Coturnix japonica: one gene and its partner. The main gene of each other region encodes a partner of the protein of the gene in region 2 in a complex. Links are inferred from orthologs where the notes say so. Each region holds a gene or a part of one and is shown on either strand. Other genes may lie near its edges.

Region 1 (3,650 bases), on a different chromosome or scaffold from region 2:
ATCGCCTCAAGTGTGTACTTTTTAATTGACTGGACTATGATAAGTAGTTAAAACAAAGTACACAGATTGCAAAAGAAAAATGTTTTGTAACATATTACAAAGTAAATTACACTATATATATATATATATATATATATATATATTATTACAAAGTAACGTATTACAAGTAAAATATTTTTCTGTAGTAAATAGTTACAATTGCAGCCTTGTAAAACTAGAATCATTCTCCTATCCTATCTAGGCAGATAATACACATTTTCATGTTTTTCATATAAAATTAGTAATGCTGTCCCTGACATGAAAAGAGTTTTGTTAGTTATCGCCTTTTGGCACTATTATAGTCCAGGTGTACAACTGATTACTCAACTAAGAGCACATGAAACAGGCAAAGAAAGCAGGCAGAGAAGATTTAAGTTGGATTATTTTCTTATACTCCTTGAGTTCACTGAATTTTGATAATCTAAGAGGGTACTTTGAGGCAGAGATATAGATCATGAGACTTGTTGGACATTTTAAAATATAAGAGCATAAAGAGGATAAGAAGTAGTGTTAAAACTACCTCTAGAGTTAAAAAAGTCAGTAGAAAATAATTTTAAGCAAAAGAAAAGAGTTAAAGATTTGAAGTAGCATTATGAGGCATAACACAGAGGCATGTGAGAGCCATCAGTGACTGTATGTAATATAGATTGCAGTACTTAACATTTTCATTGTACTGGGGCACACCTAAACAATGAAACTAAATTACAGAAATGGTTGGCCATAAATAAGCACCAATGAACAATTAACTATTCTTAGAGATTGCCTTATAGAAATATATTTATTGTAACACTTTCTTTGTTTGCATAACCTTCACTGCAGAGTTAAGCTGCTAATCACTCATGGAATATTGAATTACAAGAAATAGACCAAGAATGTTGAATTTATTTATTTGCACATGAGCATTTTTACTCCCCTGAAAACAGTAGGAATAATGTAATTCACTTATTTTCAGATGGCCAGCAAACACTAATGAGAAACCAGAGACAGACAACTGGGATGCCTGGGCAGCTCAGCCGTCTTTGACTGTTCCCAGTGCAGGGCAGCTGCGGCAGAGATCAGCCTTCACCCCTGCCACTGTTACAGGATCGTCTCCCTCTCCTGTATTGGGTCAGGTGAGCAGCTGTGTTCACTGGAACTGTTCTGAGCCAGCATGAACTTCTGGATAGCAGAGAGAATATTTACAATTGAAATCCTTCCCTGAGTGTGCAAACTATGACAGTTTAGAGTGATAAAAGTATTAGAATACACCCATTAACAAAGTCAGTGGCAGAATCTAACACAAACAAGCAGCTGTTCTTCTGCAGTTCTTTGCTGGCTTTTTTGAACTACAGTGGTCCCATCTTAAAATTTTGGCTGGGTGCTACTTTTGAATCACTTCCTTTGGGCTTTATTAAATCACATGGCAACAGTGTTTGTTCCAGAGTGGATTATATGGTTAAGTGGTGTAGATGAGATTAAGCTTCACATAAGATGAATTCAGTCCATCTGTAAGAGACTGTGCTTTCCTCAACTTGGCTCATCGTTCTTGTAAGCTAATGTGTTGTTCTGATAAATGCAAAATACCTAAGTGTCTTTGAGCAAAACTAAAAAGTAGGAATATGCAATGTATTACTAGCAGCAAAGCATAGTTTTCCATAAAATTTACTTCAAACTCTTTCAAAATAACTTTGTCACGGTTTATTGTATCTATATCTTAATTGTTGAACTTACGAAGAAGCAAACTCCCAAATAGTCTTGCATTGTAGAGATTACACATTAACAGAAAGAAATGTAGGAGGGCTGTGGGCGTTTCTTGTATTACTTTGTAATTTTGACTGACATATTTTGCTTTATACAGATGAGAAGTCACCATATTTTGGGGCTATATAGATTGTATAAGAATGTAACTCCTTAAGAAGCTGCCTTTATGAAAAGTGTTGCAAGGCTGAATTCTCTCTCTTTTTTCTCTAAATTGCATTAGGGTGAAAAGGTGGAGGGACTTCAAGCACAGGCTTTGTATCCTTGGAGAGCAAAAAAAGACAACCACCTTAATTTTAACAAAAATGATGTCATCACAGTTTTAGAGCAGCAAGATATGTGGTGGTTTGGAGAAGTTCAAGGACAAAAGGGGTGGTTTCCTAAGTCATATGTGAAGCTTATTTCAGGCCCCATTAGGAAGTCGACAAGGTATTGTATATGCTTATACTGTACTTTACTTCAATACTATTTTGGTTAAATTAATGTGAAAAGTTGCTCACTTGAGTTTTAAAGTTTTGATGTGACTCTTCTCTGTTAGGTTTTTATTCCCGTCTCTGAAAATTCAGATGAGGAATATGTAAGCTGACCTCATTTCTCCTTGTACTACGCACCACCACCAATAGACCTAAAGCTTAATCAGCAGTCTTAATTAAAAGTCGCTTGCAACTAAGAAATTACTATTTTGACATTATGAGTTATAGCTGCATAAGTTTCAGCTTATCTTTTTCTCAGAATAAAATACAATACATCAGAGCTTAATCACTTATCATTATTCTTGGAGGATGAAACAATTAGAATCTAGTTCTGTGAAAGGTGAGGTCAGCATTAACATCACTGATACTGATTAGAATGTTTTTAGATTTTTTTCTCTTCTGACGGATAAGGAGAGGCAACAAATGGTGTATTCCATGCAGTTACTTAATTATAACTACAACTAGCCATCATACTTTAAAGATGTAATTTGTAAGTTTACTGTTTATTAGAAAATTTAGGGAATTGCTTAAGGATACATGTATGTGTTTTATTTTTAACATACATTAAGCATCTTCTGAAGAGATTTAATTTCTTAAATAACTGTTATTCTCTTGTAAAGCATGGATTCTGGTTCTTCAGAAAGTCCTGCTAGTCTGAAAAGAGTAGCATCACCAGCAGCTAAAGCAACTATGTCAGGTGAAGGTAAGCATTCCAGACTGGATGGCATTAGCACTATTTTACTATGTGATTAAATGTAAGCAGTCTGTGTATTAGCAAAATATGAGCCCAGGATCAACAAAACAGGCTTGTTTTAATATCAGGCTTGTAAAAATTTGTGTATGTTTTATATGCAGAAACAGTATTTGAACATTTCTTCTACAGTTTATAGTGTTCCATATGTAAATATTTTGGTATCAGTTCAGTTCCCCGTGGAACTGTTTAGAATGGATTTTTGCAGAGGGCCAGGAAAACACTTTCATGCTGTGTTTATTTGTAATTCATAGGTAATTCATGATGCGAGGAATTATTAATGAATGTCTCAGTTTCACTCAATACTCATTTCCACTGTTCCATTAAAGCTCTCTGTAACTGATGGTAGTTTCCTTATTTGAAAGTTGTGATCTGTATGGTCAAAGCTACCCCTCATTTTTAAGGACAGAGCATATGGGGTGCAGACAGATAGATAATTGTCAGGTCTCCGGAGGATTTTAAAAGACTTGTATTCTTGCTTGTTACCACTCTTCAACTGGAGGTTAATGTCTCCATACAAGTTGCGGTGACAGACTGTGGGCACTCTAATCCACTTCAGTGCAATGTCTGCTAGGTTAACTTAATCACAGTCAGAGTAAATTAATGGATCTAAATTTAGTTTACAAATTAACATCTACATAATCTCTACA
Region 2 (4,431 bases):
GGTGTCACTCTGCTTTTTAAGAGTAGATATTATTAGTTCAACATTTTATTTTGGCTAACTCAAACACAAGTATGTTTGTGTGTTTGTTTGAGAAAGATTTCTATTTTTGAAGTCTTGTGGTTTGAAGATTGTTGTTATGCATCCAGTCTGATTGTAAAGCTATGAATTAAGTCAATTCTTTTCATGTAAGCCTCCATATGCAGGGAATCTGTATCAAGACTGGTTGTGCACAAGAAAATGGATACAGTGATGACTACCAGATATTGCAATCTTCTCTTTGGAATGGATACACAATAACAAAGCACTGGTGTAAAAATGTATCCTGAAAACACACGGAAAAGACCATTGAGAGATGACCTATGCCATATATACAGCCATTACCAGAAAATATTATGTGGGTCTTGCTACATGAGGTTAAAGTGTATCATTATTTGGAGGCACTGAAGCTTTACAAGTTTAAGATGCAAGCTTTAAGAACAGAACATAAAACTACAGGAACAAACTACCCAGGGAAACACTGAAACTGGTGGTTTCAGATCAGGGTTGTATGCCTTTCTAGAAGACAGTCCGCAGCTAAAATCTAATTACTGGTCTCAATTCAGGCAAAAATAAATAAATAAAAGCAAATGGGAAAGAAAAGGAAAAGATGAAGGTGTAGATGAAAATTATCAGCTTGAAGGATGCAAGAAAACATTAAATGAGCAGTCTCTAGTATTCCTTAATGCTTATAGAGGTCTTTATAATGCATTAAGTATGCTGAACCTCTCAACACACTGTTGTTTAGGCATACTAGGTCAGTTTTGATGCTCTTTGAATCTATTTCCAGCTGATGAGATTAAATGCTCCATGCAGTCCAAATTCTCTGGTGTGGGACTGTGTTGCTCTGCTTGGTTGTGATCTTCAGAAGAAGCATGTCTTGCGCACCTGCATGCCCTGGTAGCCAGAAGAGTAGTGAAGAGCCACACATAATTCAGGTCAACTGTATTGACCTCATTGCAGCCTTTCAATACTTGAAGGGAACTTACTCCCAGGAGGGGAGTAAACTCTTCAAAAGGGCTGACAATAGCAGGACATGGGGAAATTGTTTTAAGTTAAAAGAGGGAAGATTTAGGTTGGATGTTAGGGGGAAGTTCTTCACTAGGAGAGTGGTTAGGCCCTGGAACAGGCTGCCCAGGGAGGTTGTGGATGCCACGTCCTTGGAGGTGTTCAAGGCCAGGTTGGACGGGGCCCTGGGCAACCTGATCTAGTAAATGTGTGTGTTTGGTGGCACTGCCAGGCAGGGGGTTGGAACTACATGATCCTTGAGGTCCCTTCCAACCCGGGTCATTCTGTGATTCTGTGACAGGGCTTAGGGCCTACAGTCGGGGCCTATTTGTCCTGATGGCCGTGGAGGGATATTAAGGCTCAGCAGCACAGCTGCGGGGGGGCGGGCGGATGATCGGGCCTCTGCGGGAACGGCCGAGGGGCTGCGGGAGAGGGCAGGGCCGCTGCGGAGCTGCCTCCGCTCGGCAGGGGGCGCCACAGCCACGCCCGCTGCCGCCCGCGGGGGCGCGGGAGCCACCCCGGCGCATGCGCGCTGCAGAGGCGGCGGCTGCAGCGGCCTGAAGAGCCCCGCGGGGTGAGCGGGCGGCGGCGGTGGTAGTTGCGGTGGTTCGGCGTGTCGCTGGGCGGCCCTGATCGCGCGCCACGATGCCGGCGGTGTCGAAGGGCGATGGGATGCGAGGCCTGGCCGTCTTCATCTCCGATATCCGGAACTGTGAGTGGCGGCTGAGGCGCGGCGGGGCCTGGGCTGAACGGGGCCGGGCCGGCGGTCGTTGGGGGCTGTTGTGCTTCGGGTCGGGGCGTTCGTCCCTCATCCGACTCCCCTGTCACCTCCCCGGTGCTTTTCCCTTCTCCCTCCCTCGCAGCGAGCCGCTCTCGGTGATCTACTCACGAAATGGCGACGCGCCCCAGGGGGCGGCGGGAGATGCGGGGGGGGGGGGGGGTGATGAGACAGGAGGCTTTCCATGCGGGAGTGGGGGTTATTTGCGTGTGTATATCGTCGGTTCGGTGCTTCCTTCTCCCCCGCGGTCCCATTTGTTGGGGGAGACAGAGAGAGGAGGTCGATGCCCATCGTTGGAGTGAGGCCGGGGTGGGTGGGTGGGCTTGTGCCGTGCCGCGGGGAGCATCGCGGGTCTCCCTGACCTGCCGGCGGCTGGCGATGCTCAGAGGCACCGTAGGAAAGCAGCAGGCCTCTGCTGGGCCTTCGCTGGCTGTGTTTACGCTTGGCTTAAGCCGCCTTTAAAATTCTGGTTTGACGGAAGACAGCTCTTGGGATTTGCTCAGTAAAAAAAAAAAAACGGATAAAGAGGGCTGCCGGTAGGTGCCCCCTAAGGGATGGGGATGCGACGTCCTTGTATAGGGCATTCTATAGGGAGAGGAGGGGGAGGAGGCTGCTGCTTGGAGGGGGTTGTGGAGGCTAGGGGGTACTTGGCACCCTCCCCTGCCGTGGGAATGGCAGGTGAGAGTAGGTTAATATTAATCTGAGTTAGAGATCTAAGTGTGCAATGTGGCAAGAATTGCCTGGGGAAGGGCTAAGGTCGCTGTGGTTGGTGTGATGAAACGGCTATATGTTTTGTCCACCGGTGTGTCTCTAGGCGGCTATTCTAAAAGGATTGGCACCAAAGTCTCCACTCTGAAGGATGGAAGTGGATTTGGTGGCTGTTCAGAGTGCAAGTTATGGTGCTCTGGGCTTGTATTGGGATAACCAAACTGGCTTGGAGAAGGCTCCTGCTTCAGAGGGCTTTGTGTTGATGGCTTTGGAATTATTCCAGGAGTAACAGAAAAGGCTGCAGAGCAAATTCAACCAATGACATGACACCTCTTAGATGTGCAGTTTTATTCAACTAAATTCAGGTGATTTGGACTTACAGTCATGTAAACAGGAACCGTTGCATGTAAATTTAAGGTCCTGGATCTTCTTAACAGCAGAGGTTTTCTGAACTGAGTTGCAAATCCTTGGATACCTCCTGTAAGCCGCCTTCTGCATGTACAGAACATGTTCATCAGTTCAAGACAACTTTGGTGCTCTTGAGCTTTTTCTGGTTGACCCAGATGTTTCCTGGAGATCTGCAAGTATATTACTATGTTATGCCTGCTACATTTGTAACAGTTTCACCTTGTCATCCAATTTATGCCTGTCATTCTTGTAACTGTTGTTTTGGGATGACTTCTTTCATCTCTTTGGCTAGAAGCACTATGGTTTCTGTTCATCAAATATCTCTTACGTCTTGCTATTGCTTAACACGTTTCTCCTCTCTTATATTCACTTCTATTGGATTTCTCTGAAAACAAGAAAATAGTCAAGCTCTGGGGGTACCTAGCCTATGTTAAAGGATGTGGAATAAGAAGATTGGAGGTAGAAGGATAGAACAAATTAGCTACTGATTTCCTCACAGACTTTCCATTTTGTAAGCAGCGCAGGAATGGATGGAACAACCATCTCTGTTCGATTTGAGTAACAAACCATTCATGCTAGCAGTGTCTGCAAGAGTAGCAAAGATGTAACTAATTTGTGAAACAAATAAGGTGTTAACCCTTTATCGTTCAAACCTACGAAGATGGTTCTGGATTGTTTTGTCTCTGTTGAGGCTGCAATTTGTAGGTTGTAATTACCCCTCTGTATCTTTCTCATCTTCATAATGAAGGTAATGCATCTTCTAAATCTAAATAGTTGTGAAAGAGCTGGTATTTCCCACCAGTAGGTGATCTGTGGTAGCTATTCAATGGCATCTGAATCTTTACTGTTTAGAGAGATTTAAGTGTTGCTGGTTAACCATGGGCTGTTGTATCTAAGATTCCCAAATATACTTAAGAGCACTCTCTAGAAACGTTGTGCTTTACAAGCACTGGTACTGGCTTGAGTTCCACCTTTCCCTTTTCAGAGCAGATATTTGTCGAGAACAAAAAGAAACCGCTGTTCAGTTAAGCAAGATCTTTTGACATGCGAAATAAGAAAATGTTCCTGTTCTGGATGGGAGGGAAGCTGGACACCAAGTGCAGCTGACACTTGTACTGATGTGAAAAATACCTGCTGGCAGTCCCAATTTTCATCTTACTTTTGGCTTTGACTCATTTATCTCTTCTGTAATTCTGCCATATATGACTGAAGTTTGAATTTGTCTGCAGCCCCTTCAGATTATAATGTAAGACTCTTTCTGAAAGACTTTACACAGATAGAGAATTTGCATCGTAGTTGTTGCTGAATATTGAAAATGTAGATATATGTGAACTGTGCTTAGGTGGATGCAGAGCATGTTTCCAAGGTAACAGCATAAAACTTTCAAGAGACGCTTACATAAATTCAGAGCTTTTCTTTTTAGAAATGCTTCGTCATGCAGCAACTTTTATTTCTTGGGCATTTGTACCTACAGTGTCTGTGGCTCTAAACAA

What was found.
Region 1: the proteins of AP2A2 (region 2) and ITSN1 are in contact, whole or in part, in a crystal structure (PDB 3HS8), measured with the Mus musculus proteins. The link is inferred for Coturnix japonica from reciprocal best matches to the Homo sapiens genes AP2A2 and ITSN1. Residues at the interface, in XP_006536218.1 of Mus musculus: Glu308, Gly320, Val321, Glu324, Gln329, Gly331, Leu332, Lys333, Phe346, Gly348, Asn349, Lys350, Gly386, Ala387, Gln388; in NP_034717.2 of Mus musculus: Asn841, Trp843, Ala844, Phe846, Ser847, Ser848.

The regions. Positions count from the first base shown.
Region 1 is NC_029516.1:94,932,007-94,935,656, forward strand, and holds part of ITSN1 (intersectin-1), read left to right. Parts: intron 1-991; coding exon 992-1,151; intron 1,152-1,999; coding exon 2,000-2,205; intron 2,206-2,869; coding exon 2,870-2,952; intron 2,953-3,650. UniProt on the Homo sapiens protein: Adapter protein that provides a link between the endocytic membrane traffic and the actin assembly machinery. Acts as a guanine nucleotide exchange factor (GEF) for CDC42, and thereby stimulates actin nucleation mediated by WASL and the ARP2/3 complex.
Region 2 is NC_029520.1:9,441,359-9,445,789, forward strand, and holds the start of AP2A2 (AP-2 complex subunit alpha-2), read left to right. Parts: upstream 1-1,568; 5' UTR 1,569-1,689; coding exon 1,690-1,756; intron 1,757-4,431. UniProt on the Homo sapiens protein: Component of the adaptor protein complex 2 (AP-2). Adaptor protein complexes function in protein transport via transport vesicles in different membrane traffic pathways.